Linked DNA regions of Schizosaccharomyces pombe. The gene in region 1 interacts genetically with each later gene. Each region holds a gene or a part of one and is shown in the gene's direction. Other genes may lie near its edges.

Region 1 (10,575 bases):
AGAAATTCAAGTGTTTTGGTAGGCGCGTTGCTTAATATAAAGGAAGGAGGCGAGCATATGATTGAGAGGCTGGTAAATCCATTTTCGGCAAAGGTGGCTGGTATCACTCGAAAATCCAGTTTTCCAGCACAGAAGCGAGAGAGTGGTTACATCAAGCGGATCATTTAAACCGAAGTCTAAGAGCCATTGGTGGACGCAGCTAGTTTTACAATCCCTTGTTAGACCGAATTGTCGCATATTACTGTTCTTCAAAAGCAAATCCACAATGTACGCAAACATAAATCAGAGTCTAATTAAGTCAGTAAAATTGTTTTTAAACCTAAATATTAAAATTGTTTTCTCAATGAAACAATGCGAAACACACCATCATAGTATCACCCCGACGAGAATGAGTCTGATAAAAAACTGCTTCATGTTGATGACAACGCGGGCATTCTTTGTCTGATCTAGGTAAAGTAGGGTCCGTTGAAGCGTCGTGACTGACCGTCGTGTTTTCTCTACAAATTTAGTGATTATTCGAAGGATGAAATCTAACTTACACATTGGAGCTTTGTAACTCATGGCGATAAACTTTACTAGTAGCAGCGATCTATACAAATTAGCTGATGAGATATTTAAAACTTCCAAATGATGAGGAAAAAAGTAATCGAAAAGAACTTCGAATTTTTTTCTTGAAGTGAATAAACCCAGTAGGAGAAAAAAACAAGCTTACCTCTGAGTAATCACAATTACGACAAGCTAGCCTCAGAACACGATCCACTTTATCCTCTCTAGGGTACCTATTTATTTCATGTTAGTGTTTTCAAACAATTTTCAGTGTCATCTTTTTGAGAAACTAATCCGTACAGCATATTATTGCATTCTATACAATATTGAAAATTTGACATTTTAAAAAAGCAAACAAAAGTATTTTACTTCAACGCAATAAACTTTCAAAAGAACGTGGTGGTTAGTGGATATGGAAAATACAGTGGACAACAGCGTCCTGATGGTTCACATCTATAAGTTCGAAAAAGCTTTTGTTTATCTACAACGTCTCTACAAGATTTCGTTAAAAACTGTGTAGCTGCTTTAAAATTTATTTGCGATATACTTAATATTACTAATTATATAGAAGATATATTGACTTTAACGTGTAGCATTATTCAAACATGGACTAGTCCTACAAACTTGTAACATCATACTTCAGTATCTTACATTATGCACATCAGCGAGTAAAACGGTAATTTACAGTATGAGTTTGATTTTGGAATTAACGATCCCTTAGCATATGCTTTAGTCGAATTTATTTTCGCTTTAAAAGAAGACTACAAAAATAGTTAAACATTTTTAAGCATAACTTTAAAAAATGTCGGGGTTTTGTGTTCTTGGTTGTGGTACAATGGGAAAAGCACTTTTGACTGGAATCTTTGATTCCATTGCTGAAAATGGAAACGATGTTTCTGACGAAATTATCATTCCGAATAAGTTCTATGCTTGTGTCAAATTTCCTAAAGAAAAAGAGGATGTTCAAAAGCTTTTCGGAGATCGTGTTAAAGTTGTAATGGGGGCCAAAGAGAATGCCGAGATGGCTGCGATTAGTAACGTTTTGTTGTTGAGTTGTAAGCCTCAGGCCGCAGAGGATGTTTTGAATTCCCCAAAGATGAAAGAAGCGCTCAAAGGAAAATTAATTTTGTCAATTTTGGCTGGCAAGACCATCTCTTCATTGCAAAGTATGCTTGATGAAAGTACTAGGGTGATTCGCATTATGCCCAATACTGCTAGTCGAATCCGTGAAAGTATGAGCGTAATTTGCCCGGGACCCAACGCAACTGAAGAAGACATAAAGTTTGCTGAATGGGTATTCAATGGCATTGGACGTTCAATGAAACTTCCCGAAAAGCTTATTGATGCTGCTACCGCTGTATGTGGAAGTGGACCTGCTTTTGTTGCTACTATGATTGAGGCTATGACAGATGGTGGTGTAATGATGGGTATTCCGTTCCCTCAGGCTCAGGAATTGGCTGCCCAAACTATGGTTGGTACAGGTCGTATGGTTTTACAAGGTCAACATCCTGCTATGATTCGTAATGATGTTTCAACTCCTGCCGGATGTACAATTAGTGGTTTGTTGGCATTGGAAGATGGAAAAATTCGAAGCACAATCGCACGTGGTATAGAACAAGCAACCAAGACTGCTTCTGGCCTGGGTAAATGATACTAGCAAATTCATTTTGTGCTATTAAATATCCTGGTTCCAAACATGGATTTGTATATAAAATTCTTGGGTTAGTACTTCTGTTTCCTCTTTAAAGCTAGTTTCGTTATCTAGTTGTATTAAAGCGTTGTGACTTAGTTTCATTCAATGATTCCTCTGTTTAAGCTTGCAATTCTGTTACATTACTAATAATATGCGTATTCGAACAGCGAGATTATATTTCATTAACTTTTTAGAACGTTGTATGCAATTAAACCCATTTCATTGCGATTGCTATCGTAGTGAATTTAGCTAAAGGTATTCAATATTGAAGAAACGTACTATGTTTTGATTATTTTAACATTGTCATAGTCGTACCGATGTAAACAAAATCACCACCATAAACAGCTCCCGTATTTTAAATTTTTATCCTTAATTCGACTCTACTTTTTTTTATTAAAAATACTTAATTGTACAGGTATCGAATCTTAAAATTCAACCTGCTTAAGGAGGACCAAGGAAATTTGCAAGTTGTTCTTCGCCATCCGAACGTATTCGAATATGAAAGTATACATTAATGTGTATGATCTAATGCCAGACAGTCCGGTAAACAAACTAGCATGGACTCTTGGACTTGGTATTTACCATACAGGATTGGTTTTAGAAGGTAAAGAATATGCGTTCGGAGCACACGAAATTCCTGGCTCCACCGGTGTGTTTGCTACCATGCCAAGACCGCCTTTAGAAGGGTGTAGATGGCGCTGTTCTATTGCTTTACCTAATTGTACCCTCCCTAAACCCGACGTGGATAGAATTTTGATTCGTTTGAGTCAAGAATTTACGGGGTTATCATATTCTTTATTAGAGAGAAATTGCAATCATTTCACGAATGCTGCAGCAATTGAACTTACGGGCAGCCCTATCCCTTCTTTTTTAAATCGAATTTCTCGAATTGGATTGGCGTTTCCTACGATCACGAATGCCTTATTACAGCACGGTCAAAAAAATACATCCGACGTTGATGATTCCTCGGATTCTTCTTCAGATGTAGATGAAGAAACTTTAATCGTATCAAAAAGTAAAAAAGCTCATAAAGATATTCCTAAATTTTCCGCACCTCCTCCTTCTGCTGACCTCAATAACCTCATCACTGATTCACTTCCTTAAGTCGCATGCTGTTAGTCAGCCTTTTAACCTACGAAATACAACACACACATCCAAAATTGTAGATTTTATTTATGCCTTGTTCTATCAATTAAGTGTAAAGTCAATTTGGGACTTTTTTTTAATTACTTGCTTTCTGATATATATCTCTTTATTCATCTTTGTTTGGTATTTTATTGTAGAGTGTTTTTTTATTAGTGATTATAATTAACTCTACAATAATGGCTGAAAATGAATTGAGATTATTAAACAATGCAGAGCTGAAGCTCGCTCTAGCGGAAAGCGAGGACTCCTTTCAATCGCTTGTGTCAGTTTTTTTATGTCCGATTTTACTAAAACTCGATTCGCCTCATGAAAGTGTGAGAAACAAAACAATTTCAATTGCAAACCACATTATGACTAGGCTCAACAATAACGCGCAAGCCATACTACCTCTTGAAGCCTTAGTAAGCCAGTACGTTGAAGCAAATCAACCTTTGCGAAAAAGATTTCTCCTTGCTTTCATATCTATAGGCGAAAAAAGGATACCTTGTTCTGAAAATTTGGCCCTTCTCCAGATTTGTCTAAATCATGTCAATGAATACCCATTAGTATTATTGACATTGACAATTCGTTTACTTCGTTTTTCAAAGCCAACTTCGGCTATTACATGCTCTAACGATGTCATTTTATCTCTTTCTTCATTCTATTTGATTCAGAAAGATCAAAGGATTTTTAGTGACCTGCAATTTTCCCAAAAAACAGTAGATTACCGCTTGAGTCTGCTTCGGTGGATTCATTTATCTAGCTGGCCATCAAATTGGAAGTGGTTGGCTTACTTTTTTGCCTCTGCTGATTCTCATTCTGAAGTTGCCCGACTGGCAGATGAATTTACGCGTGATAGTGGATTACCTGATCTAGAGAATTTGTCCCACGTGAACGTTCTATTAGACATAGCGCTTGATAAGTTTCGAATCGAAGCTTTGCACGCAAACTTTTCTGTTTCCATTAGCTTAAGGAACAAGGCAATTCAGCATTTACTTAAAAGTAAAATTGCTGCGAATACTGACAAAGCTATAAATTGTATTGAATTCATTCTTGAAGCACCTCCTAGTATGCAACCCCGGTTAATACAGTTTACTCGTTGGGTAGTTGACAAAGCTGATCCAAATTTTCTTAAACCTAAAGCTGCGATGATATTGGAAAAAATTCTTAGCATCTTATCGAGTAATATAATTCAGAGTGATTTACTTAGAGGATTTTTATATACAACGATAGGTTTACTGACCAAGGTTGATAATCATCTGATTACTAATTCTTTGCTGACAAATTTATTGACCTCCTTACAATCTGAATTACCAGACGTACGAGTTTCAATTGACGAAGCTCTTTCTATTATTATTCCGTACTATAGTAATTTTCGATTTTCTAACGAATTGTTGCCAGTATTAGAACCCTTTATTTTTGATTCACCCGAGTCTCCTGCTGCGTATTGCGCACTTCGATTTGTATTGGTTGCTTTTCCTTTTGATTATTTGCCAGCTCGTTTTATTTGTCTAAAGGTACAAAATCCTTTCGTATTTCACCACTCTTTTATTGAAGAAGCTAAAAAAGGACTAAACTTATCTCAATGGGTTCAGTATAATAGTGTGTATTCCACGAATGAAGCTCAAGAGGAAGATAAAGTACGTGCCGCTAGTTATCCTTCTGCCTCTGAAGTAATCTCTTTTATTTTGTCGGACCATGATTTAAAAAAATTTTGGGAATCTAATGCTGCAGAGTATTGTTTGGCCATTCTTGAGTTTATTGAGAGATGCATTTATTATTCAGCGGATAGAAGCTTAGAGCTTTACGACAATGACAAGCTATCTTCTATAGACGCTTTACTGATTCAAGATTCCAAGTTAAGAGAAATGGTGTCTGAAAAGTGCATTTCTTTGTCAAATTTTAATGTATTTTTAGAATATGTTTTTTATGGTACTCTACTCATGCACTTTGAACCCACTTACGCCCTCAGCAGATTGGTATCCTTTGCACCACCTGAAGTTACATTTTCTTTACCGGAGTTAGATTTTCTAACGTCTGTATTTAACTTTCCACTTGCTTTGCGTAATACTGCAACACGAATACTGGGAATAATACTTAGTACAAAAGATTCAACTCGTATATCAGAAGTACTTTCTTCTTGCTTCACTATTATCTCAACGTCTAACAATAAAAATGACAATTTTTTCAAGGCTGAGACTGCTCTTCTAATCATCGGCTATACTATCTCATACTTGGCTGCTCAAACTAATTCAGCAGCCGTCGATTCTTTCATTCTCAATTCTGGCAGTATAAAAGAATTTTTTTCTGTTTTATTGGAATATCTTGGTTCCAATGTTTTGCACAAAAAGACCACTTCACTTGCTATTTATAAAGAATTGTTTGTTTATTTTACTAGAGACTGGATTACTTCGTATGGCGTTGACTTTGACGAAATTTTAAATGTTTTGCTACGCTTTCTAAAAGAGGTTGAAGATACCAACGTAAAGGTCGAATGTTTACACGTTATATCACGTATGTCGTTATCATTTTCAGATGATGAAATGGCAGAAAAGATTCTTAAAGCCATCTATGTTACATATCACATGGACTCTCCTGATATATTGTTTGCGAGTGCTGAAGCCATGTCGATACTTGCTGGTGGACATAGAAACGTTTTCGTGAAATCCACGTGCCCCATTTTTTTTCAAAAACAATTGGACAATTATAAAGCAGATCACTATTGCTTTACCCTTGATTTCATTTTAACTGATTGTGTCAATTCTCCAAAACCCTTACTTCGTAGGGCCTCTTCTTTATGGCTTTTTTACATAGTTCGCTATTGCGAACCTCAAACTTATACAATGACGCGGCTTAATGATATTTATCATTCATTTCTCTCATTTTTGGTTACTCAAGATGATTTTGTTCAGGATACTGCGTCAAGAGGCCTCAAAGCTATGTATGATGTTTTAGAAGGGGACGAAAGAAAATCATTTACTGATAATCTGATAAGCACAATTGCTGCTGACCGCGTTGATGAAAAAACCAAAGCTCCTTTGGACGCAGATACTGCCCTTTTCACTACAAATAAAGGTACTGTAGCCACCTATAAGGATATCTGTTCTTTAGCATCCGAGAGTGGTAATCCTGATTTGATTTATTCATTCTTGAGCATAGCAGGTAACAGTTCTCTCTGGCAAGCCCGTAAGGGATTGGCATCTGGTATAAGTTATTTAGGTATTCCCGAGGATCAAAAAAGAAAGACGTTTTCATTTGATACTTCTAAAAGCTCTTCATTATTAAAAAAGCTTTATAGATTTAAACATGACCCTAATCCTGATGTTGCCAAAACAATGGGTGAAATTTGGGACACATTAGTACCTTCAGATCTCAATTTGGCATCTCATCGTAAATACTTAGTGGAGGATTGCCTCGAGTTTATGGGGAGCAGATCTTGGAGAGATAGGGAATCCAGTGTAAACACTTTGGTTAGTCTTCTTTCTAATGTTCCTGTGACCGAGTATCTAAATCAATTAGAGGATATATGGAACATGTCTTTTCGAACTCTTGATGATATTAAAGAGAGCGTTAGGGAAGCGTCCTTTCCACTTTGTAAGCTTTTAGCAAGATCAGTTATTCAATCTTTGGAGAAGACTTCACACAATACTAGCCCAAGCGGAATTTGCAAAGGCAAACGGATTGTTTCAGTAGCTTTACCATTTCTATTAAAACACGCTTATGATCAGGCTAAAGAAGTTCGTTCACTTACATACTCTACCATCACTGAACTTGTGCGTACTGGCAATTCTACTTTGACTTCGTTTGTGCCGGCCATTATGCAGGTTATGCTTGAATATTTGACAGAGTATGAATCAAAAGCTGCTACCTTTTTGGATTTTCACGCCAAAAATTACAGCATTAAACAAGAAAATATTGACAACGCCAGAACGTCAGCCGTTCAGAGCTCTTCAATGATGGATACGCTAGAGAAGTGTATCGGCCTTTTGGATGAAAGCTCAATGCAAACATTATATCCAATATTAAATAGAATGATTGCTAAACCTGGGGGTGTACCTACCAAAATAGGCAGCGCCCAAGTGGTGATGCTTTTAGTAATTCGTCGTGGACCACTCGTCAAGCAGTTTGCTTCAAAGCTGCTTCAATCCTTGAAATCTTCTTGCTTTGATAGAAATGCTGCAGTAAGTGATGCATTTGCATCTGCTATTGGCTATTTGTTACGAGTTTGCCCGTTGGAAATAGCTTCACAAACTTGTCAAGAAATCATCGATAAATTCTACGATGGAAATACCAACGAACAAATAATCAGTTCCAAATTGACCGTGTATGCGTCGAGATACGCACCCGACGTCTTCCTTAATCTTGGTTCTCTTTTTTTTCCTTTCATTTTTTTTGGGAAACATTCTTCTTCCATTTCGATAAATGGGGTTTTAAGTAAAGCATGGGATGAACTTTCATCTGCCGGAAGCAGTGTGAACCTGTATTCGGAAGAAATTATCCTTCTTATCCAAAAAAACTTAATTGTTACAAAATGGGATGTCAAACGTCCTGCTGCTGCTGCATTATTGGAATTTGTCAATACTTCGCGACTCACTTATCGACAAAATGATATCTACGTGCTTTTAAATGAAACAATGAAAGATAAAAGCTGGCCTGGGAAGGAATTACTGCTTGAGGCTTATGTTAAATTTTTAATTAAATATCCTGAGTTCATTAAATCGCAAAAAATGGAAGAAGTTCACCAAGTGATTGTTAGAGAATTTAAGAGACGCAATATTGTTTACAAAAGCCATGCAATGGAAAGTGTTGGTGAACTGTTATCTGATGAAAATTATAGAGAGCTTGATTTGTATGAACTATCATTAAATGAATGTGGTACATTTTTGCAGAAGGAATGGTTTGATAAAGATGATGAATTGAATCTTGAGGAAAAAATTGCGCTTCAGCGCAATAGCGTCTATGCCATGTTTAATTCCAGCAGACCTGGAAATAAGAATTGTAATGAGATGTTGCTAACTTACTTGTCAAATGCCCTTGATGAAAATTATTTACATTGGAATGTGAAATTAGCAATTCTGAAAAATGCTCCTCACTTAAAAAAGATAATGTCTAACGAGGAATTCTTACTGTATAAAGATATTCTTTATCGTTGTTACGAAGACAATCCGTCACCAAAAGCAAAAGATTATGCTGAAGTCATCTTCGGCGAAAATTATTTAAGTGTTTTAAGAAATTAGCTTCATTATATTTATAGCTAGTGATAAAGCTGATCAGCCATTTGAACTTTCTAAACACTCATTTCTAATGCTAACATTGTAAAGGATTAATTAAAGAATATTTTATACAAACCTTTGACTAATGTATTCATATTTGATTTTAAACCTAGAATGTAAGCGATTGATGTTGAAAATCCAATAACGATAATAATAGCTTTTACAACAAATAAACAACAAGTGAAGAATACTAGATGCCAGTCACTTGGTTTTTTTTTTTAAGATTCTTCAACTTCACGTGCTTTTCTAGCGGCTAATTCTTCGGCCTTTTTTTGGTTTTTCAAGTATTTAGCCCTCTCTTCGCTCATTGCTGCAAACATCCAAAACTGCCACATCAAATCGCAAAATGCAAAAGTAAAAGTAAGGCTGTTGCTAGCGATATGCTCTTTTTTGAGGTAAATAAAGCCGGTAAGGATAAAGTCAAATATAGCACGAATTGGAGTAATTCCACTGAAGAACAGGAAATTGCTTTGTAACAATGAGATAGTATAAATCATTCCAAGAATCAAAAATACCAAGCCGGACAATGCAAGAGTCGATAAGTTGTCTTGTGTTACTATCAATGGTTTCTAAATTATAATGGTCAGATATCACTTCAAACATTAATCAAGAAATTAAAAAAAAAAAAAAAATACTATCTACTAAAACAATAAAGTTATAATCACATACAACTTCCATAGAAGCACCAATTAACGCGACCAGTCCACTTTCTACTACAAACTTGGGATTCCATAAAAATCCAATGCCAGCAAATGTTAGCATACAACAATAAAAAAGAACTATCGCTCGAAAAGAGAACAACATCGTGAAATCAGAAGACGACAAATGAGCAACTATTAACTTCTAGAGACTGTACTCCGTGGTTTAGAAAGAGAATGTAAAACTAATAAGTTTTTTTCGGAAAGAAAATGTAGAGAGTTTCGATGAATATTTCGTTCGTACTTTTGTTTTCTCAACGTCGCACCAATTATATGCACCTGATTTTTGCTATTTTACGGTAGTATCAAGCTCTGGGAAGTATGTACTCTCAATTAATGGTTATATTACGATAGTTGAACTTAACTTCACTATTGTTGCTAGTTGCCAGCGCTCGCTATCTGTATTTAGAATTAGAAGGTGAATTGAATTGAGAAATATAATCAATATAACAAAATTACAAGTATACGTTTGGTTTTATTTCTTCAAAGTTATTTTGGTATGAAAAAGTGAGATGCTGACAGATTTCAAGTCAAGAACTCTATATTTTTTAAAACCACTTCAACGAATTTTAGGATCTTGAAAAGTACATCATTTTTACTAATTATAGGAGGGTATTTTCAAAGGATATATTGTATGTAGCATCTAAATAATTTTTATGAAGGTCTCAAAGGGTTGACAACGGTTGTTTTTGGAAATACATTACATTGACCATAAACTGAAACGATGTATTTTACAAAAGGCAATTCAATTTTACAAACTTTCAGCTAAATATAAATTATGCCAGGATTCTCGTTCATTTGACTAGAATGTGTGCTTGTGATATTTGTTCTCGCATTGGTAAGTGCCCCGAAACCTCTTTGTAAGTGGCACCGTACCACAAATTGCATACATACAATCTATTATATCAGATATACAGTTTTATCTTGGGTGGTAGATAATAGATATATAATTTCCAATTCATATTTATATTGTTTTACCGGTTGATTGAAATTTGCCAACCAATTTAATAAAAAGCGTTTGTCAAGATGCCAATAGATACACCGTTGATACCCCATAAACCTATTTCAAGATATCGCTCTGGTAGATTGGAAGGGCTGGAAAGTGAGTCTTCTTCTGAAAGTGATTATGAAGAAGTTTCCGATTCACATGATCAAGAAAACTCGATTTCTTCATCAAGACATGTTATTACTCCAGTATTCGAGAAAGAAGGAATATCTGAAACCAAAACGTCTTCTAATT
Region 2 (6,684 bases), on another chromosome or scaffold:
GGCTTCAAATTGACAATCAGATGTTGGATTCTGTATATCCAATTGCATTGTTTCCTACAATGATTACCCAAGAAGTCAAACAAGACGATCCCCAACTTTTACAGCTGCGATTTTCCGTCCTTAAAGATAGCAGTTTTAATATTCTATACATTAAGTATGCCTCTCTCCTTCTTCAAGAGCTATCGCTCGAAGTGGAGGATAGATTGGTTTTAACGTTGTTACAATTGCTTTATCCATCATCCGATGTTTCTAAAGATTCTGCAAGTCTCAGCAAGAACGCTTTTGCGGATAAGTTTGAAATACCAGATCTTGACGCGGATGTTTATCGCAGTAACGTATTTTTTGAGACTCTCCATTTACAACCAACCCGATTAAATATATCATTTGAAACTTCTTATGAATCGGATCAACCAGCTGTCAAATCTTCCAATCCCACATTAGATTTTATGACAGGTATACTGATTAGCACATTGGGTAATATTCATGATGCTCCCGTGCAACTGAATTCCATTCTTCTTGAAAATGCTCGTGGCACACTTTCCGAAATGGCAAACCGAGTGGCAAGTCATTATAAACAGCAGGTTGGTTACCAAATATACAAAATTGCCGGGAGAGCTGATTTTTTGGGAAACCCCGTTGGTTTGTTCAATAACGTTGCATCTGGTGTATTTGATATGTTTTATGAACCCTATCAGGGGTTTTTGTTACAAGATTCGCAATCATTCGGTGATTCATTTGCTCGTGGAACATCTAGTTTCATGCGTAAAACTATTTATGGTGTTTCAGATAGTGTATCAAAGATTACTGGGACGATTTCTAAAGGTCTTTCAACTATGACTATGGATCCAAAATATCAAAATTCTAGAAGACGGTTTCGTTCAAGAAATAGGCCAAAAGAAGCTGTATATGGCGTAACCGCTGGAGCTAACAGCTTTTACGACAGCATGTCTAGTGGATTCAAAGGTCTCAAAAAGCCATTTACGGATCCAAAAAACAACAGTGCTGGCAAATTTTTGAAGGGATTTGGCAAGGGTATGCTTGGTTTAGCTACCAAACCTGCTATAGGATTGCTTGATATGACCAGCAACGTGAGTGAAGGCATTCGTAACTCAACCGATGTTCGTACTAATCCTGAAATTGATAAAGTACGTGTGCCAAGATATGTTGAATTTGGAGGTCTAATTGTACCATTTAAACCCTACGAGTCGCTCGGAAAATATATGTTAAGTTGTTTGGATGACGGCAAATATGCCTTTGATGAATATCTTTACCATGCTGAAATTCAAAATGTCGACATTCTATATATCAGTACGAAGCATTTTATTATAACCGGAAGTAATTATATTGTTAAAATCGCTGTACCCGTGAAACAAATTAGTGGTTTGCGGGTATCTGAGCATGACTTGGTTTGTACGTTGTCTAACAAGTCAGTGAGATATTTACCTTTGCCAGCTTCGCAGGAGATGAGGCAAAACTGCATAAACGCTGCATTTACTGCTTATTCAGAACATTATAGATTGCGATTGAAGCAGATATCCCCACTTTAAATTATCAATTTTTTTTTATATTTTTGTTTACTTTTTAAACTATTGTATATTTTCTTCTATTCAATTGATATTGTTTAACTGAATAGAATTCTTCTTGTTTGTTTACATTTGCTGTGTTTTGGCAGCGGTGTGAATCCCTCTTTGACTGTGAGTATCTTTCCACACCAAACTTAGAATTGTTTGTGAAAGAGAAAAAAAAACCGATTATGAGCATAACGATGTCCGATTCTTCTGCTTACGGCGAGGAATTAATGCGTGAGCGATTTGAGCACTTGCTTAAAGCTTACGAAAAAATGGCTTTGATGGTAGCAGAACAAGAGGAGTTTAATGCTAAAATTGAGGACATGGCTTTGAAATTATTAAGTGAGAAATATGACAATGAGGCTTATCAAGCTGAACTGTTTTATCGCTTGTCTAATTGTGTGGAAAAAGTCCTGCACAATAAAATAAGTATCACTGATCTAAAGACTGAGTATGAGGAGATTCTTGAGCAAACGCTGAAGAAAGAATGCAAGGCTTATGAAAGATCTTGTATTGAGAATGTGAAATTAAAGAAAAGAACAGAACAAGCAACCGCATATTATGCTAGTTCCTCAAGCGAACCGTAAAAAATGGGACATATGAGTCGATGTAAATTTCTTCGAATTTATTAGTTATTAAGCATACTCAGTCTATGTGTATCTTTTCCTTCTAAAATTTGACATGACAATTTACGACGGATAGTGAATGGAAGTAATGTGCAAACTATGTCATATATTATTTTTAGTTTTTTACATCTCTCCATTACTGATGGAAGTATCTACTGTTTAATTATGAATGTTTTATAAATGAAATAATTTATTTGTATGAAAAAGCATTATTGCGAAAAGTCTGTACAACTCTTGGTAAAATTATCACCATGAAGAAGCTTTTTATATTTAAAGCGTTTGTTTATTACCCCTTTTCAATCGTATTCAATCATATTCTTATAGTAGTTTTTATATTTACGATCCATCCTGCATTGCCCTTCTGTATCGGACAGGTTGAAAACGCGTAGCGGATTAAAAATCAAGTTTGAACAGACTAATGTGCTTTATTAAACATAATTTGAGAAATTAATTATCTTCTGTTCTAAGATACGTTCAAGTTTTACTCAAAAAATCAATGTGTACATCAGAAGGTTGGAGTATTTACCTACGCTTAAAATCAAATTTGCTTTGAAAAGATATTAACTTTCAAATGTTCAAAATTGCCGGAAAGCGCATAAAAAATATTATTAACTACTTATTAAAACATGTTAAATAAAGCATGAACAATTCCAAGCAATTTTTGAAGTACCAACCCTTACTTGAATGGCTAGCAAAACACGAAGCTTACATTTCACCCAAACTGTATATCGCTTCAAGTGGGGTCGCAGGAGATGGTATATTTTCTACCTTTGATATAGATGAACTTGAAGTTTTAGCAAAGATTCCTAGAAGGATCATTCTGAGTCCTCGCAACTCAAGATTTGGAGATTCGTTGTATACACATTTTAATGAATCTAATCGGTCTGATGATATTAACTTTGACAATAGAGATCAGGTTGGGCTGGTCATGCTCGTTATAACTGTAATATTGGAAAATATAACAGATAGTCCGTGGAACGCTTATTTAAACACCTTGGACGAAACTTGTATGCCTGATTCCCCATTATTATGGAAAGATAAAACGTGTCTTGAGGGAACCTCAATGCTTGATGTAATAAATACAAATTTAAGAGTATACAAAAATCAATATGATCAATTGGTCCGCCCTTACTTTTATAAACATGCTGATCTCAAACAGCTTTGTCCAAAATGGAATCAGTATTTAGAGACTTGTGTTCTCGTCCAAAGCAGGTGTTTTTACGTTAACAGCTACTACGGTTTATCTTTAATACCCTTTTTCGATATTTTTAATCACAAGTCTGGTCCAGCTATTGCTTCGCTACATTGTCAGGAGTCAAATGATCATAAAGGCGATATCAAAATAGAATTTATTTCTTTTCAGTATATACGAAAGATGTCCGAAATATTCAACTCCTTCGGAAACTTTGCCGCTGATGAATTGTTCACGCAGTATGGATTTATTGATACCGCTTGCAAAGTTTGGCGCGTCGACATGACAATGATTGCTTATGAAACTAACAGAAATTTTTATATGGAGTGGATTCATAAAAAAAGAATAATCAACACCCAGGAGTTGCTGGTCACCCCAACTACATACGCAAATGACAAGTCTGAGACTTTACGTTCAGTAATGATAAGACAACCTATGGATCTTTATATAATAACAGATCATGGTCCCAGTTACGGGCTTTACTTATATTTATTTTTTTGCATTTACAAAATCAAATTCCAAAAGTGCGATATGAATATAGTAATGCTTACAAAGTATTTTAATGAAATCTGGGCTGTGTTTATAGCACATAAGGAGGGAGAAAAAGAAAAGGTTGTTGCTCAACTCTCTGGTTTTTCTTTTTATTGTAAGGCTATAGAATTTCTACAGATGCTGTGTCAAAAGCGCATTAGTCGTTTCAAAAATGGTGGGTTGACTGCTGAAGCTTATAAGACTCTATTGTGCGATCCGACTCTTAAACGAGAGAATAGGTCTCGTTTAGTCTTACAAATTTTTTATCATGAACTTAATTTACTCGAAAAATCAATGCAAGAAACAATTTATCTTTGTACTGAAAATTTTGAAGATTAAAAAAACAACATACAACGGTTGGAAATGTTGCATAAAAGGAAAAGGTAAGATCGAAGTTCAGCTTAAATTTTAATCATAATTTTGTGCCCTTCTTAATTAACATTGTAGTAACTTTATGATGTTTTCCAAAACCCTGCATCGTTCCCTTTCTAGATGTCCTGTGTAATAAATAACCTATTTGCCATTTCAAACTTTCGGTATAAACAGCATCAGAAATATGAAAGCGTCAAATTAAGCAAATGAATTAGTAGGCATAGAAATAAGAAATCCGATGACAATTTAGATGAAAACCAGTGTAGAGCACATAAAGTGTACAATTTGTGAAGGAATAACATAATATTAATCGTGCATGGTAAACTATGCTTTCCATGGCATTCTTTCTTATGAGAAAAGGAAGTAGAAAACGCATTTATAAAATGACTTTACTGAAAATACATATGGCATCTTTTTCCCTTTAGTTAATTAAACTAAATGATAAAATATTAAAATTAGTCACCGTCTTTGATGATTTGGAGATCAAAATATCCCGGAAATAGTTTTTTGAACCGCAAAATTCCAAACTGTTAAGCTAACCGATCCTACATGCCATGTTAGTATTTCAGCTGCCATTGTGATAAATGAAAATAAAAATAAAAAAAAGATTTTCAGAATTTTCATTAAAAACAACATACCGTAGATTGATCGTGGAAGAGATAGCACCCATAGAGCCCAAGAAGGAAGCAAGAATGCAGGGAGGAAAAAGACAGGTGTTTTGGACTCTTTGAATTGAATATAAAACCGGAATCCACGGGTTAAAATCCAAAGAAAAAGGCTTAAAACCCGCTTGAAAGTATCTTGGAAAATTTTAACATTGGCTGATTGTTTTTCCCACTCTTGACTGAGTTGTTCATACTTTCTATTCAGACGGGCCCATTTAGCAAACTGATCTTGACTGCTAGTAGCGTTTAGCTCTTTCTTAACAGTAAGCAGCTGCTCTAAAATTTCTTTGTTCTTCTTTAAATCTTTATTATTAGAAACACTAACGTAAATTCGATAAGCCTTTCACATTATTAGTTTTCTTTACAACAAGTATATATGTTAAATTACCCCATCAATAGTCCTTTTTTTTGCAAATTTATCGAAGAAATGAATAAATAAGCTTAATAAAATTGTTGAAATAATCAGATCCATCATAAAATATGGACTTGTAAGAAAGTACAGTGGTTAGTGTCAAACGTGTAACTGTTGAGTATCACGCTCCCTATGACATGCTGGTCTAAAGGTCGAAACTAAACACAAGTTTGTTTGTTACGATATTAGCTATTTTGTGTTAGAAAATAATAATCTATTAACCTTTTAAAGTTCAGAAGAATTGATGTTAAGTATATTTATCTAGCTTCTGTAATATTAAATAGAAAAAATAGATAAAATAGCTATATGATATTCAATTGACAAATACTTTGATCATGAGATCCATGAAAGTAACTATTTTCATTCATAACGCTTTATTTAAATTCAGTAAATTGACAAATTAGGCAGAAGGTTGTTGAGGAGATGGGGGGATTGGTGGATTTCGAGGATCGTGATCATTTTTATACTCAGACTGACGCATAAGTTCAGAAATATTTAAATGTTTGTATGCATATGGCCTTGGTCCAAGAATCGTCTCAACTTCGTTATAAGTGATGACTTCTTTCTGTAATAGACGTTGAGCAATATTTTCTAAGCCTTGCTTATGTTCTAGCAAAAGTTTCTTAGTTCTTTCGTATGCATGCTTTACAAGCTTTCGAATTTCTTCATCAATCATTTGAGCTGTAGCCTCAGAAAATGGTTTTTGAACAGTTTCCCGAGTGTCGATGGGATAAGCTATAGTACCAACAGTCGGAGACATACCATATTGGGTCACATACGCTTGAGCCATGCGCGTTACTTTTTGAAAATCATCGGAAGCTCCCGAAGTAATCTTTTCTGGTCCAAAAAATATTTCTTCAGAAACACGCCCAGCCAAAGCCATTCCCATTTGATCTAAAATCTGCCCTCGACTCATCAGATACTGATCTTTGGGTAAATAACTAGCATAGCCAAGGGCTTGAGCTCTAGGAATGATTGAGACCTTCAATAGTGGATCGACGTACTCCATAAACCAACCAGCTACCGCATGTCCAGCTTCATGATGAGCAACGGTGTTTTTTTCTTCAGGACTTAGTACCCTACTCTTCTTTTCCAAACCTGCCGTGACTCTTTCAATAGCTTGCTCAAAATGTACCATTTGGACTTCATTACTATTTGATCGTGCTGCAATTAACGCTCCTTCATTACATACATTCATTATATCAGCTCCTGTAAAACCAGAAGTTAGGACGGCAAGACGCTTGGCAATTAAGTCGATGTTATCGGCTGCCTTAATATGCTTAAGGTGGACCTTAAATATTTGTTCACGACCGCCAAT
Region 3 (7,627 bases), on another chromosome or scaffold:
GTCTTTGAGAGTGAAACTTATGGACATGTTTTGGTTTTGGATGGTGCTATTCAAGCCACTGAGCGCGACGAGTTTTCTTACCAAGAAATGATTGCTCATCTTGCTCTAAACAGTCACCCCAACCCAAAGAAAGTTCTCGTTATTGGTGGTGGTGATGGCGGTGTACTTCGTGAGGTGGTCAAACACGAATGTGTCGAAGAGGCTATCTTGTGCGATATTGATGAAGATGTCATTAAAGTCTCCAAGCAATACCTTCCTGAGATGTCCGCAGGTTTCAATCATCCCAAGGTTAAGGTACACATTGGTGACGGTTTTAAATTTTTGCAAGATTATCAAAATACTTTTGATGTGATTATTACAGACTCTTCCGATCCTGACGGTCCTGCCGAAGCCTTGTTCCAAAAACCTTACTTTCAACTTCTTTCCGATGCTCTTCGTGGAGGCGGTGTCATTACTACTCAAGCTGAGTGTATGTGGATTCATTTGGGTGTCATCAGCAATGTCTTGACTGCCGTTAAAACAGTTTTCCCCAATGTTCGTTACGCATACACTACTATCCCCACCTATCCCTCTGGATCTATCGGCTTCGTTGTAGCCTCCAAGGATGCTTCCATCGACCTTAGCAAGCCTCTTCGCAAGTGGTCTCCCGAAGAAGAGAATAAGCTTTGTAAGTACTATAACAGTGAAATTCATGCTGCTTCCTTTGTTCTTCCTACCTTTGCTCGTGATGTCGTTGACAAGGCTACCTCCTCTTAAGCAAACATTTTTATTTTTTTTGGCTAAAGTTTCATACGTCTTAATCAATGCAATCTTAAGTCAAAATGTATACTCTTTTTTCTTTGTTTTCACACTTCTGCTCTCTACTTTTTGTAAGTGAGATTACGTTCTCTTTCGGTAGTTGATATGCAAAAAAACCAGTGAAATACCAGCATAAGTAAATAATATTCCTTTAGTAATTGGTACCAAGAAACCTATGTATTAAATAATCTCTAAAAATCAACATGCTTTACATTTTAAGTGCATTCTTGACAACTTTTTCAAGCTCTTCGTAGTCATCTGTAGGCACTCGCGTGATGGGACGTTGGAAGTATTCTTGAATGGCGTTCATTTCTTCCCAACTCTTTTTATCGTGAACAAAATTGATACTTACTCCAACACGGCCGAACCTACCGGTACGACCTATACGGTGAAGATATGTTTGTGGATCGGGTCTTCCTGCTTGATCTAAAGGCATATCATAGTTTACAACCAAGTTGACTTGCGATACGTCGATACCCCGAGCAATTACATTCGTAGTAACCAAAACCTTTGAAGTACCTACTCGGAATGAATCCATAATAGCGTCACGTTGTGCACCTTCCAGATTACCGGTAAGACAAGCAACAGTGTGTCCATCTGCAGTCATACGCCTAGCAATTTCTTCAGCGGTATCCTTTTTCTTACAAAATATAATTGATTGACCAATAGTCAATAACCCATATAATTCCACTAAAACATTATATTTATGTTCTTCACTTTGGCAATCCATATACAACTGCTTGATTCCCTCAACAGAAAGCTCCTCAGTCTTCAGACGAATTTCATTAGCATTGGGAGCAAAACGTTCAGCGTACTTTTCAACGCGTTCCGAAAAGGTAGCACTGAAAAGAACAATCTGAGTGTTTCTAGGAAGAAGGTGCTTGATACGCATAGATTGATCTCCTAATCCTTGCTGATCTAACATGTTGTCTGCCTCATCTAACACGAATACTTTAATATCGCGAGCGTCAAGCTGTCTTCTCTTCATCAAATCCATCACAGTGCCAGGCGTTCCGATTACAATTTGAGCATCGATTTTTGCACCTTTAGGGACGGAGTCTTTAATACCAAAAGCTGTTTTTACTTCAGTATATTTGCCCATCTCCGTCACGACATCCATAATCTGACGGGCCAATTCACGAGAAGGAGCGAGGCAGATAGCTTGAGGTTTGGGAACAGAAGCATCAACACGAGAAAGCATCGTTAATGCAAATGCAGCGGTTTTACCAGTTCCGGATTGTGATTGTCCGATCATATTGCGAGGAGGATTTGAGAGTAAAAGTGGAAGCGCCTTCTCTTGAATTTTTGAGGGTTTTTGGAATTTCATTGAATAAATTCCCTTTAATAATTCGGGCTTGAGCTCCAACTCTTCAAAACTTTTAACAGAAAAAAGAGGTGAGTTTGGATCAGCCTGTAGATCTGCTAATTTTACACGAACCTCGTTTTTATTTGGTATTAAATTAGATTCATCATTTTCAGATTGCTTCGTATTGGCGTCCTCTGCAATCGTGTTGGTCGCTTTGTCTTGCTCAGATTTTGCATCAACATTCTCAGTGATTTTTGGACCTAATCTGTCACTTAAATTTGTTGCTTTTTGATCTTCATTTTTATTTTCTGAAGTATTTAACTGATTGACTTTATCACTAATTCTTTGAACCTCTTCATCAGAGTCCAAACTAGCCCAGTCAGTTTTGCTTTCCTGTCCCAGTGTAGTTGACATTTTGGATGTTTTTTAGTAAAAAAAATAAAAAAAATCAAATTTATAGTTCAGATATCCAAACTCAGCAAGGATGACTTAGCAAACTGGATGACAATTTCTGGTGGGCAATGTAGTTGGTGATTGCTAAGTTACTCCTTAAGTGAAAGTTGAACAATATAGGTTTCGATTCACCACCGTACTTCCTTTTCATCAACATTCGTAACGTAAAGCCAAAAATTGTCACAATTTCTTCCGTCAAACTTTCTTTTTAATTGTTTTATATCCGGTACAAATTTTTATTGCAGCGATATCAAACGTGTAGATAATACTGGATAATGAGCCTGGAAACATACAAATTTAGTGATGAACTTCACGTAAGGTGTTTTAGTTATTTGGCATATTTACTAATATATAAAAGGACGATTTTAAAGTTGTCGACAGTTGGGTATGCCAAGAATGAAAATGAAGACAGTTCAACAATTAACACATTGTAACAAAGATTAATAATGGCGCGAAATGGCTTGAAGATATTCAATTGTACTACAAAGAAAGAAGTTCTATTGGTAAATAAGAAACGACAATGGTTAAATTTCAATGACTAACTTTGTTGCTAGAAAAAGAATATGCTCAGAAATTAGCCAGTCTTTCGAATAAATATGGGGAGAAGAAATCCAGAAAATCATCAGCCCTTTCAGTCGGAGATACTCCGGCAATGTCTGCTGGCTCTTTAGAATGGTATGTAAAATATTGGAACCTGTCAAGCAATTGAAGTTAGATGGATATTGAATTCCTGTTCACAGGCTAATTTTATAGTGCTTCTTTAACAACATGGTCTAAAATTTTGGATGAGTTAACGCGCTCATCAAAAACTCATCAAAAGCTATCCGATGACTATTCATTGGACATTGCTGAAAAACTGAAGAAACTAGAGTCTCATATAGAGGCTTTAAGAAAAGTTTATGATGATTTATATAAAAAATTCTCATCCGAAAAGGAGACATTGTTAAACAGTGTGAAGAGAGCCAAGGTCAGTTACCATGAGGCCTGCGATGATTTAGAAAGCGCAAGGCAAAAAAACGATAAATATCGAGAGCAAAAAACTCAAAGAAATTTAAAATTATCTGAAAGTGATATGCTCGATAAGAAAAATAAATACCTACTTCGTATGCTTGTATACAACGCCCACAAGCAAAAGTTTTATAATGAAACTCTACCAACGCTCCTTAATCATATGCAAGTATTGAACGAATACAGGGTTTCGAATTTAAATGAAATATGGTGTAACAGCTTTTCAATTGAAAAGTCTCTCCATGATACCTTATCCCAAAGAACCGTTGAAATTCAATCAGAAATTGCAAAAAATGAACCAGTCCTTGATTCTGCCATGTTCGGAAGGCACAATTCAAAGAATTGGGCACTTCCTGCTGACTTGCATTTTGAACCTAGTCCTATCTGGCATGACACGGATGCACTGGTGGTGGATGGTTCATGTAAAAACTACCTCCGAAATTTACTGGTCCACTCCAAAAATGACCTTGGAAAACAGAAAGGCGAGCTTGTATCGTTAGATTCACAATTGGAAGGTTTACGCGTCGATGATCCAAATAGTGCTAACCAGTCATTTGAATCTAAAAAGGCTTCGATAAATCTAGAAGGGAAAGAGCTCATGGTAAAGGCCAGAATAGAAGATTTAGAGGTTCGTATCAACAAGATCACGTCAGTTGCGAATAATTTAGAAGAAGGAGGTCGTTTTCATGATTTCAAACATGTTAGTTTTAAACTTCCGACAAGTTGCAGTTACTGTCGTGAAATTATTTGGGGGTTATCGAAGCGTGGATGTGTTTGCAAAAGTACGAAATATTTGCTTTCTTTCGTTAACTAACAAAACACGTGTAGATTGTGGCTTCAAATGCCATGCAAGGTGTGAACTTCTTGTTCCCGCCAACTGCAAAAATGGTGAGCCCGAAGTGGCCGACGATGATGCTGTAGATACCAGTGTTACTGCCACTGATGATTTTGATGCTTCTGCGTCGTCTTCAAATGCCTATGAATCCTATCGTAACACATACACAGATGATATGGATTCAAGTAGTATTTATCAAACTTCCTTAAGCAACGTGAAAACAGAAGAAACAACGCCTGCTGAACCAGCGTCAAAGGTTGACGGTGTAGTTCTTTACGATTTTACCGGGGAACATGAAGGGGTAATCACAGCTTCTGAAGGACAGGAATTTACGCTACTTGAACCAGATGGTAAGTAAAGCTTGAAAAATCCCATTCTAATAGATCAATATAGATGGCTCTGGTTGGGTTCGAGTAAAAATCGATGGAACTGATGGCTTGATTCCAGCTTCTTATGTTAAATTGAATGATGAATTAAATACGAGTGTGACACTTGATGGAGATTCTTCTTATGTTAAGGCGTTATATGCATACACAGCTCAATCCGATATGGAATTATCAATCCAAGAGGGTGATATAATTCAGGTCACAAATCGAAACGCTGGAAACGGATGGTCTGAAGGGATACTTAATGGAGTGACCGGTCAATTCCCAGCTAAGTAAGTCTTTGTTTTTTTTTTTTATTCATTTCTCCATTTCTTTGCACAAAAACTAACATATGTCTTAGTTATGTTACAGATGTATAAACCATTGAAATATCTATATGAATATTATCTACTTCATTGTTGATAAATTTTACCTTCTTTATGTATTACGAAAAGCAAATTGTCAATAATAACTTACGATTTTTTATCCACTACAATGTAGTTGGTCGATACACCAAAGTATTTTTTTGCTAGATTGATCTTTTTTTTTTTGAATTTTAGATATTTATAATAACTATACTAAATGCTATGCCTAAGGAAAATTTTTTAAATTGAACTATGCTATATTTTTTTCGTTAGTAACCAAAATTTATGTTTACTGAAGAATACAGTTTCGCGTTACGAGAAAATTGATCAACAATTTTTTAACGAATACATACAAACACATTGTCATTACAACAGAGAGGAATCGAAGGATGTGATATGTCATCGTACATTTTCAAAAGTAATCTGCAAATTGAAACAAACATATAAACGACATGTGATATTGGAACTAAGTCTAAAAACATTCCCGATAACGAAGGGAAAACTTTCATGAAAGGTAACGAAAAAGAGAAAAAAGCCAAAATGGTGAAAATATAAGGAAAAAAAAGTTGTGTGTTCAATTCTTCTATACTTTAATTATTCGTAATGATCTTCGTCAACTCGTATGTCTTAGCGCCGTCGTCAAACTTGGACAAAATGCGGCTAGGAGGATATCTGCCCTGGACAACACCCAAGAAAGCATCAAATTCATTATAATAGGGATCATCTTCGGGGAAATTAATAATGCGTTCGCTATCAGCCTCAGGAGAACGAATGTAAAGTCTGGGTTGACCGTAAAAGTCAACCATACGAACATAATGACCATCTGCTTGAAGCTCTAGACAAGTGTCATAATTCGTTCCTTGTAAAATGATACTATGAGCGAGAATACCAACTGCACCCGACTTATATTTCCATGATGCAGCGGTGAAACGGGGGATGCGCTCCTCTTTGGGAATGGACTCCTCGTCAACAGGAACCTTAGCTAATTTTCCACAAGGGTCGTACCAGTTTACACGGTTTACCTTGACGGTAGAAGTATCGACATCACCACCGAAATAGATGGACAAATCACAGAAATGTGTAGCTTGCTCAACGACGGGACCACCAGACTTTGACATGTACCACCAGAAAAGTTTGTTATTATGTTCGTAAGCAGAGTTATATCTTGCAATGGTACAAGCGATGTTCAAGTTATTATCGGCAACGTATTTCTTGGCGGCTTGAACGATCTTTAAATAACGGAACATATAACCAATTGAAATGATAGCATGGTATTTCTCCAATTCATGTACGAGGTTAAAAGCACCTTGGACAGGAGCACTAGTAATAGGCTTCTCGATAAATAGAGCAGCATTGGGGTATTTTCTTAAAATTTCCAACTCCATGTCCATACCCGGAGTTGTGCAGCCATGGAAATCAGGAGGAATGCCAATGAGATAAGCAGAAGGGACATCCTCAGGATGGGAATCCAAGTATTCCAAGTACTCAGTTACAGAGACATACGTCTTGGTGTTTTCATAAGCGAAAGCAACGTCAGATGCACATTTAGACTTCAAAACACGCTCGCTTTCGTTAATTAAGGGGTTGATGAGAGCAGTTACTCGAAGTGATTTTCCTAACACCTTTTCAACTCTCTGGGCATTGTTCCAAGGTCCCTCGGGGGTACCAAAGTTAATGCCACCGGCGCCAACAATAGCGATCTTGAAGATCCCACCAGAAGAAGAGTTGGTTGATAGAGCAGTCATTGAATCAAACAAAGCAATATAAAAACAAGTTCAGAAAATAACAAAGATAAACAACAGGCTCAACCTATGTGAATGGTTGTGCAAAAAGACCGAGTTGATCAACAATGAATACGAGAAAATGAATGAGTAAAAGGAAAAAGGAAAACAGCTATGAGAATTCCAAATTGAGGATTCTTTGTTTTTTTTTTCCTAATTGAACTTATCGTATGGTATGGGTAAAAGACAGGTTTATAAAATATGATATTTCCTACGCTTATATATTTTCTTTTAGCGCTAACGTAAGGAGCTCTTCCAAACCATTACGTATTCGGATTAACTTGCATGTTGTAAATAAACAAATACAACAAACCGAATATTAAGGAACGTTCTCACTTTAGCTATGTACTGTATAAGATGGACGGAGATGAAAGAGTTCAAGGATATAAAAGTAAAACTAGTAGTTCTAGGAGCGACAAAAGAACGAAATTTTGACATCTCGACCGAGCCATTTTTAACATGCCATTTAAGATTTCACTTTACAAAATTTAAGCAACGATCTTTACAGATCCGGCAAAACAAGGAAGTGTATTTTGCAAGGATAAGTTAACCTAGATAATTACAGCGTAGAGAGAGTAAAAACATAAAAAGGAGAAAATTTTTTCAACGTGCTGATTTCGCTAGCAATAGCCATTTGGAAAATTTGGACCCTACTTACGTTCAATTTATGTAATATTGAGGCAATGAATAGAAAGAAGAATCGAAGAGAACGAATA
Region 4 (6,022 bases), on another chromosome or scaffold:
GCGGCAGGAGCCCAAGTTTGAGCAAATCCAAAAATGAAAAGACATGCCATGACAATCATAACGGCACCAGCACGGGTATTTGAAGTACCGTTCTTATGATATAAAGCACGAGAACCGACAGCTGAATAAATGAAAAAGCAAATTGACTGCCAAATACCACCAATGATAAGAGGGTTACGACGACCAAACCTTTCCAATACATACATACCACCAAAAGTGCAGCCAAAATTAACTGCATCAAGAATCATAGCAGATAGGTAAGGAGAATTAATACCAGCTCCTTGCATAACTGAGAAACCATAGTAGAAGAAATAGTTGTTACCGGTCAATTGTTGAAGCGACATAACAAACATACCAAGGAAAGTACGATAACGAATGTCTTTACCGAAAATGCTTGCCCAGCTGCAAGGGCCACCAGCAAATTCTTCGTCAATAGATGATTTGAGACGGTGATATTCATTTTGAACTTCCTCACTATCAGGAAAAAGCTCAGCACTTTCAGAAAGAACTCTAACAGCCTCTTCATCCTTGCCAACTTGAATAAGATAACGAGGGGATTCGGGAAGGAAGAGAATTCCAATCATGGTAATGATACCCCAAAGGAGATTAATACCAATTGAAACACGCCACTGGGCAGTTTTATGAAGTTTGTGAGTACCCATATTGATACAAGCGGCAATGAAAATTCCACCAGTGACAAACAACTGATAAGTGACGACGACGGTACCACGAATACTGGGAGGAGCAGTCTCTGATTGATATCCAGGAGCCAAGACAGAAAGAGCGCCAATACCAATACCAGTCCAAATCTTGGCAACCATGATTTGTACCCAAGAGGGAACAGCGGTAACTTGAACGATGATACCAATGATATAAACAGCACAAAAACCAATGATAGAAAGTCTCTTACCAAAACGATCGGCAATGGGAGAAGAAATGATACATCCAAACAAGGAACCAACGTTAACCATACCAGTTAAAAGACCTTGACGAGCCGAAGACAAAGAATACTGGTCGGTGATCGGGTCATATCTATCAGCATAACGCTCACGAAAATCGCGCATACTAGTAACACCACCAATGGAACCGGTATCAGCACCAAACATCCAACCGGCCATGGAGACGAAAATTAACATAACAAGGGTAAAATTCTTTCCACGCTTGAACCCCATTTTGATAAAGTATAAAGGAATCTAATAAAGATGAAAAAAAACAAAAATTCTATAGAAAGGATGTAAGTGGAAAATAAAAGATTGAATAAAATTAACCACACGTCTATTTCAGTTGCAACACGTTAAGCAGAAATGATAGAACAAAGAACAGACAGTTTATGAGTTAGAGATCTTGACAAGAGATTCTCAATAAATAAAAATTAAAAGAAAAATTAATCTAGATTATGATTTTCAAGCACAGAGAGCTTGTATTTTCAAAATCGGTATAAAGAAAGGGTAACCAAGGAAAGCACAATGCTTTTATTGAGCTTTCTTTGGATTTCGTTCTTGTTTAACCAAAAAAAGAAAGGATTTTTAGGTAAATGAAGACTAAAGTTGCTCTTGCACTTAAAAAGCAAGAATAGGTCTAGGTAAAGATTTTAACAGTCAAGAGGGCAGCTTTTATACTAAATTCGGGAAGAGAAACCCCGACAAAAGTATCAAAAGTCCTTTGCTTTCAGTGAAATTTTAGACAGGATCGCCGGAGAGTTTTTGGTTATACGTCACAATATTACAAGGGCAACAAGGTAGTTAGCAAACTCTTGTATCATTGGACGCCGACTTAAAAAAACGCAGTCACACACAAATAAGAACGAATAAGATGTGGAATAGAATTTAAACGACGTGTATGACGAGGATCAACAGCTCGTTGAAAGTCAAGAACGAGGTAAAAATGTCACGATATCATTAATTCTCCATAGCAAAAAAAAAAATTCAATCGTAAAATGATACACTGTACGTAATGAAACTGATGCATATACTGGGGAAAGACACTATTAGTGAGGTAGAAAGCCGATAACAGGATGAAAAAACGACTTTCAATAAATGTGATGTAGGAATAATTCTCAAAAGTAAAGTAAATTTAAATACTTTGGCGACCGAGGCTGCAAGTTCGGACTGCTAGCAAATACAGAGTGTATTCCAACGTCAATAATTTTAGCAAAGTAACCGAAAAAACCAAGTATATTTCTATACTCCTCATATCGTTAAATCAAGATTGAACACAAAAAAACGTTTCCTGAGGCAAAAGAAGTAAAGTGTCTGCAGTAAAATTAATTCGCAAGGCGAAAAAATAATACCAATGGTGGCCATACGTATTGGAACCAGCAAATATCAAAGTTTAAAACACAGCATACTCTCATCGCTGCATGACTATCTCAAAGCTGGCAATAGAACAATTAACGTTACGGAACCATAATCCTTCAAATTTCGATTGCTTGCATTCTCGAGCTCCACATATTCGAGTCCATAACGGAACTAACCTAAATGCGGAGTTCCTCTAGTATTAACTAGTAACATGAATAGAGCATAGCCGTGCTCTTTTTTTTTAAGAAAACGTCACGCAACGTGTATCTTATCTCTGTCCTATCCAAGTCAGGATAGCTAGGGGCCCCCAACCTGGAGACCATACATCGACCGCGACACCAACCATCCTAGCGAGACTCCCTAACAAGAAGGTAAATATGGATGGACAATGAACCTTTTCAAAAAAAAACAGAATTCTCAAGCGATATATTCGCTCTTGAACAGTTCGGTGTAAAAGGATACTTCTATCCCTTGATTACGTGTACGCCCATACTTCATTCGGACTATAGAAGAAATATGGAGCTGTAACCCGTACTGCAATTGTCTGTGTTAAGAAAATGTAAACGCTGCACACTAAATCATCACTAATTCATCGCTAACTAACGTAGTCCCTAAAAAGTTATGAACTTGGTAAACGACTTTTGAGGCCTTGGGACCTCCTTAAATACGCCCAACTCATTACTAACAAGGTTTGCTATGTCCGTGAAAAGCGCCTATTGTACATATATTGCTCCCATATATGTGAAGCTTTTGCCCAATCATTGTAAGACAGGGTCTTGCTATATTTCCCTACCCCGCTCCATTCTTCCCAAGTCTGAGAAAAACTGTGGAGAAGCCTACCAATTTTGCCTAAGGGGATTTTGATCCCGCCTCTGCAATCTATTGGACGATAATAGCTATAACTACATTTGATTGGATGAAAGACATGTGATGAATGCTGGATGGTTTTGTTGTTTTTAAATGACCACCGATAATTTTTTTAGTTAGTACGCATACATTGATGAAAGCTGAAAAATTATAATAGGGTGAATAAATGAAATTCTTTTTGTGTCTTTTACTCTAATATCGTCTGGCAATTTTCTATTTTCGTACTTCGATAGCGCCATACATGTCTTGTCACCCGTTTTTACGAGCTAGGCTTAGAAATATCTTGGAATTTTTTTTCAGACATGTTGATGATTGGCTGATACTTTTTCCAGTTCTGCCTCCTCCACAATTTGCATCCGCGTTTTCCAGAGACGTTGGGGCAATAACTTTGTCTAACATTAAATTGAAATTACAAGGGTAAGTATTTGAATCAAGACTAACCTTTATACGTTGAATGTCTTCGATATTGTAGAGAATGCCTTGAAAAAAAAATTTTATTTGTGTTAATACAATCTAATATTGTGGAATAAAAAATGGTTTGTGACTGCTCTTCTGTTCTCGGCTGTTGTATTTCTTAATAGGACGGCTCGTAAAATTCGTTATTTGCGCGTCCAGTACACCATCGATTCCCATATTATCCACAGTTTACAAATAACAATATTTATATCATTTTCTTTACTTTGGGTAAACGCTCTCTTTCAGTAACTAAATCAATTGTTGTTTATAAAATTTTTATTCTTTTGTTTGCGCGTTCAAAATTTGTCTGCACGGTAAATCATTAACGCATAAACTCGGTTCTTTTACCTAGGTATCTCGTAAATTATATAAGGATTTGTACCATATTGTAACAAAATACAAGGCAAACTGAATTATTGTACAGATTATCGTATTCACTATTCAAGCATTCGTAACTTTTTCTGCAACTGAAAACAAGATTAATGAGCAACAACATGGTCAAACATAGCGATGCGTTATCGTGTTAAAACTACGTCCATTTATTGAAGTTCTTCCTTTCGCGATCTTTAACTTGGATAAGGAGTGTTTCTCTCCATTTGATATTTGGTACATTAGAGTACTGTATTTTGAAAACAAGCGCTTTTAGAATACATCCAACGAAATATTAATGCTGGCTATAATTTACATTTTGAAATTGAATGTAAAGTCAACCATTACGAGCCATATTTACTAAAACAAGGTGGTACCTGAAAGACTACTTCTTTTGGTAATTAGCTGGAATTTAATGCCATAAGCTGGATTGTCTTCCAATTTTTAAATACTCGTGTTTTTTGATTCATCATAACATTAGTGCCGAAATTCACTGTGAATATCTTTTTATATTTAACATCCAATGGATCCTCAAACAAATTCGCATCAAGAGGTTCAACAACCATCTCCTAAAGAGACAGACTCTCAAACACCGTCAGAGACTCTCTACATACGCAACATTGAAGAAAAAATTCGTCTTACTAGTATGCCACTAATTTAAATTGTTTTAATTTAATTTAATTTCTAACAATCGTAGTGTTGAAACGAATTTTAGAACATCTCTTTGGGTCTTATGGTAAAGTCATAGATGTTCAAGCAAGAAAGACTTTGCGAATGCGCGGTCAAGCATTTGTAGTATTCGACAACTTGGAGAACGCGTCACGAGCGTTAAAGGATTTACAAGGATACCCTTTGTATGGAAAGCCCATGATGATACAGTACAGTAAATCTAAAAGCGATATTATCGTACAAAGAGAATCTCCTGAAGAAATAGAAACTAGGAAAAAAGATAGGAAAAATAGGAGAGGTATAATCTTTTTTATTCTAAAATCAAAGACCTCACTTTACTAACCTTATATTATAGAAATGCTTAAACGGACTAGCGCTCTTCAACCCGCAGCTCCCAAACCCACTCATAAAAAGCCGGTTCCTAAACGTAATGTTGGAGCTGAGCGTAAATCGACAATTAATGAAGATTTGTTGCCTCCTAATAAGGTACTTCTGTTACAAAATATCCCTCAAGAAGTAAACGCAGACGTCCTTACACAAATTTTCGAAGCGTTTTCTGGATTTCAAGAAGTACGTATGGTTCCCGGTAGAAGAGGAATTGCATTTGTTGAATACGATTCTGATAGAGAAGCAACGGTCGCAAAAAATGGGACAACAGGTATGTCCCTCAGTGGAAATCAAATAAAGGTAACATTCGCTCGGAAGGCCTCGTAGTTGATTCTGCAACTATTTTAATTCCCTCTTTCAAATTTTTGTTGCAATAATCATCCAAAAGTCACCTTTCGAAATATATAAAGCTCCTATCATTTTCATAATTGATCATTTGTGTATATAAATTATATAATGCAATTTTGCAGGCCCAAAATTATGTATATCAAGCATGTAATTATGTTAAGCTTTCAGTACCTTGAACCCGCTATATTTTCCAGACGATCCTTTCATTAATTCGATATTTCCTTTTTTCATTAGTAGCTCAAGAACTTTATGGAGGAGTACTTCGTCTAAACAATCTACCTCTTTATATTGTTCTTGAAGTTCGTAAAATGTACATATAGACCCTTCTCGTCCCATATCGGATAGCTGTAAAACAATTAGTACTTTCGACTATGCAGAAAATGGCTTACCCATTTCAAGATCATATTCCCCCATTCAGATATAGACCTCCAGTATACCCAAAACACGTCTTTAGGATTTCGCTTTTCAGTCCATTCTGCTAGGTTTTGTTTCACCATATCCTCTACTATTTCTCGAAACACCGAAAGAGGCAGCGTTCCTATTTGGTAAGAAAGAAAGTTAGCACTAAGGAGTAATACAAAGAGTTTTCTTACTATGAATTGTACTGTTATGAAGCAAAGAACTTTCTA

The links.
Region 2: mutations in ecm29 (region 1) and SPOM_SPBC16C6.01C together harm fitness less than expected from each alone (positive genetic interaction), as found in Schizosaccharomyces pombe (one large-scale study listed by BioGRID).
Region 3: mutations in ecm29 (region 1) and bzz1 together harm fitness less than expected from each alone (positive genetic interaction), as found in Schizosaccharomyces pombe (one large-scale study listed by BioGRID).
Region 4: mutations in ecm29 (region 1) and usp102 together harm fitness less than expected from each alone (positive genetic interaction), as found in Schizosaccharomyces pombe (one large-scale study listed by BioGRID).

What each region holds. Positions count from the first base shown.
Region 1 is NC_003424.3:4,751,446-4,762,020, forward strand, and holds ecm29 (proteasome assembly chaperone Ecm29), read left to right. Parts: upstream 1-3,368; 5' UTR 3,369-3,561; coding exon 3,562-8,601; 3' UTR 8,602-8,781; downstream 8,782-10,575. Other genes in the region: DNA-directed RNA polymerase II complex TFIIS subunit Rpb9, read right to left, coding at 239-289, 365-497, 540-589, 713-779, 847-887; pro3 (delta-1-pyrroline-5-carboxylate reductase), read left to right, coding at 1,349-2,197; sdu1 (PPPDE peptidase family protein), read left to right, coding at 2,738-3,343; SPOM_SPAC1782.02C (uncharacterized protein), read right to left, coding at 8,856-9,206, 9,307-9,441; splicing-associated factor Saf3, read left to right, coding at 10,362-10,575.
Region 2 is NC_003423.3:4,317,692-4,324,375, reverse strand, and holds SPOM_SPBC16C6.01C (lysine methyltransferase), read left to right. Parts: upstream 1-2,745; 5' UTR 2,746-2,834; coding exon 2,835-4,256; 3' UTR 4,257-4,300; exon of another isoform or gene 4,301-4,364; 3' UTR 4,365-4,539; downstream 4,540-6,684. Other genes in the region: vps1302 (lipid transfer protein), read left to right, coding at 1-1,547; protein Spo2, read left to right, coding at 1,754-2,155; GET complex subunit Get1, read right to left, coding at 4,773-4,834, 4,928-5,294, 5,343-5,429; m-AAA protease Yta12, read right to left, coding at 5,767-6,684.
Region 3 is NC_003423.3:2,463,341-2,470,967, forward strand, and holds bzz1 (diacylglycerol-binding protein Bzz1), read left to right. Parts: upstream 1-2,687; 5' UTR 2,688-2,832; coding exon 2,833-2,871; exon of another isoform or gene 2,872-2,915; coding exon 2,916-2,942; exon of another isoform or gene 2,943-2,996; coding exon 2,997-3,060; exon of another isoform or gene 3,061-3,111; coding exon 3,112-3,232; exon of another isoform or gene 3,233-3,310; coding exon 3,311-4,347; exon of another isoform or gene 4,348-4,393; coding exon 4,394-4,750; intron 4,751-4,793; coding exon 4,794-5,058; intron 5,059-5,126; coding exon 5,127-5,145; 3' UTR 5,146-5,399; downstream 5,400-7,627. Other genes in the region: srm1 (spermidine synthase), read left to right, coding at 1-756; ATP-dependent RNA helicase Dbp5, read right to left, coding at 1,007-2,518; SPOM_SPBC12C2.04 (NAD-binding dehydrogenase family protein), read right to left, coding at 5,721-6,875. UniProt on the Schizosaccharomyces pombe protein: Plays a role in endocytosis and trafficking to the vacuole. Functions with type I myosins to restore polarity of the actin cytoskeleton after NaCl stress.
Region 4 is NC_003423.3:3,422,722-3,428,743, reverse strand, and holds usp102 (U1 snRNP-associated protein Usp102), read left to right. Parts: upstream 1-4,264; 5' UTR 4,265-4,512; coding exon 4,513-4,633; exon of another isoform or gene 4,634-4,686; coding exon 4,687-4,956; exon of another isoform or gene 4,957-5,013; coding exon 5,014-5,372; 3' UTR 5,373-5,522; downstream 5,523-6,022. Other genes in the region: plasma membrane glucose/fructose:proton symporter Ght2, read right to left, coding at 1-1,172; ESCRT II complex subunit Vps25, read right to left, coding at 5,550-5,738, 5,783-5,931, 5,987-6,022. UniProt on the Schizosaccharomyces pombe protein: Involved in nuclear mRNA splicing.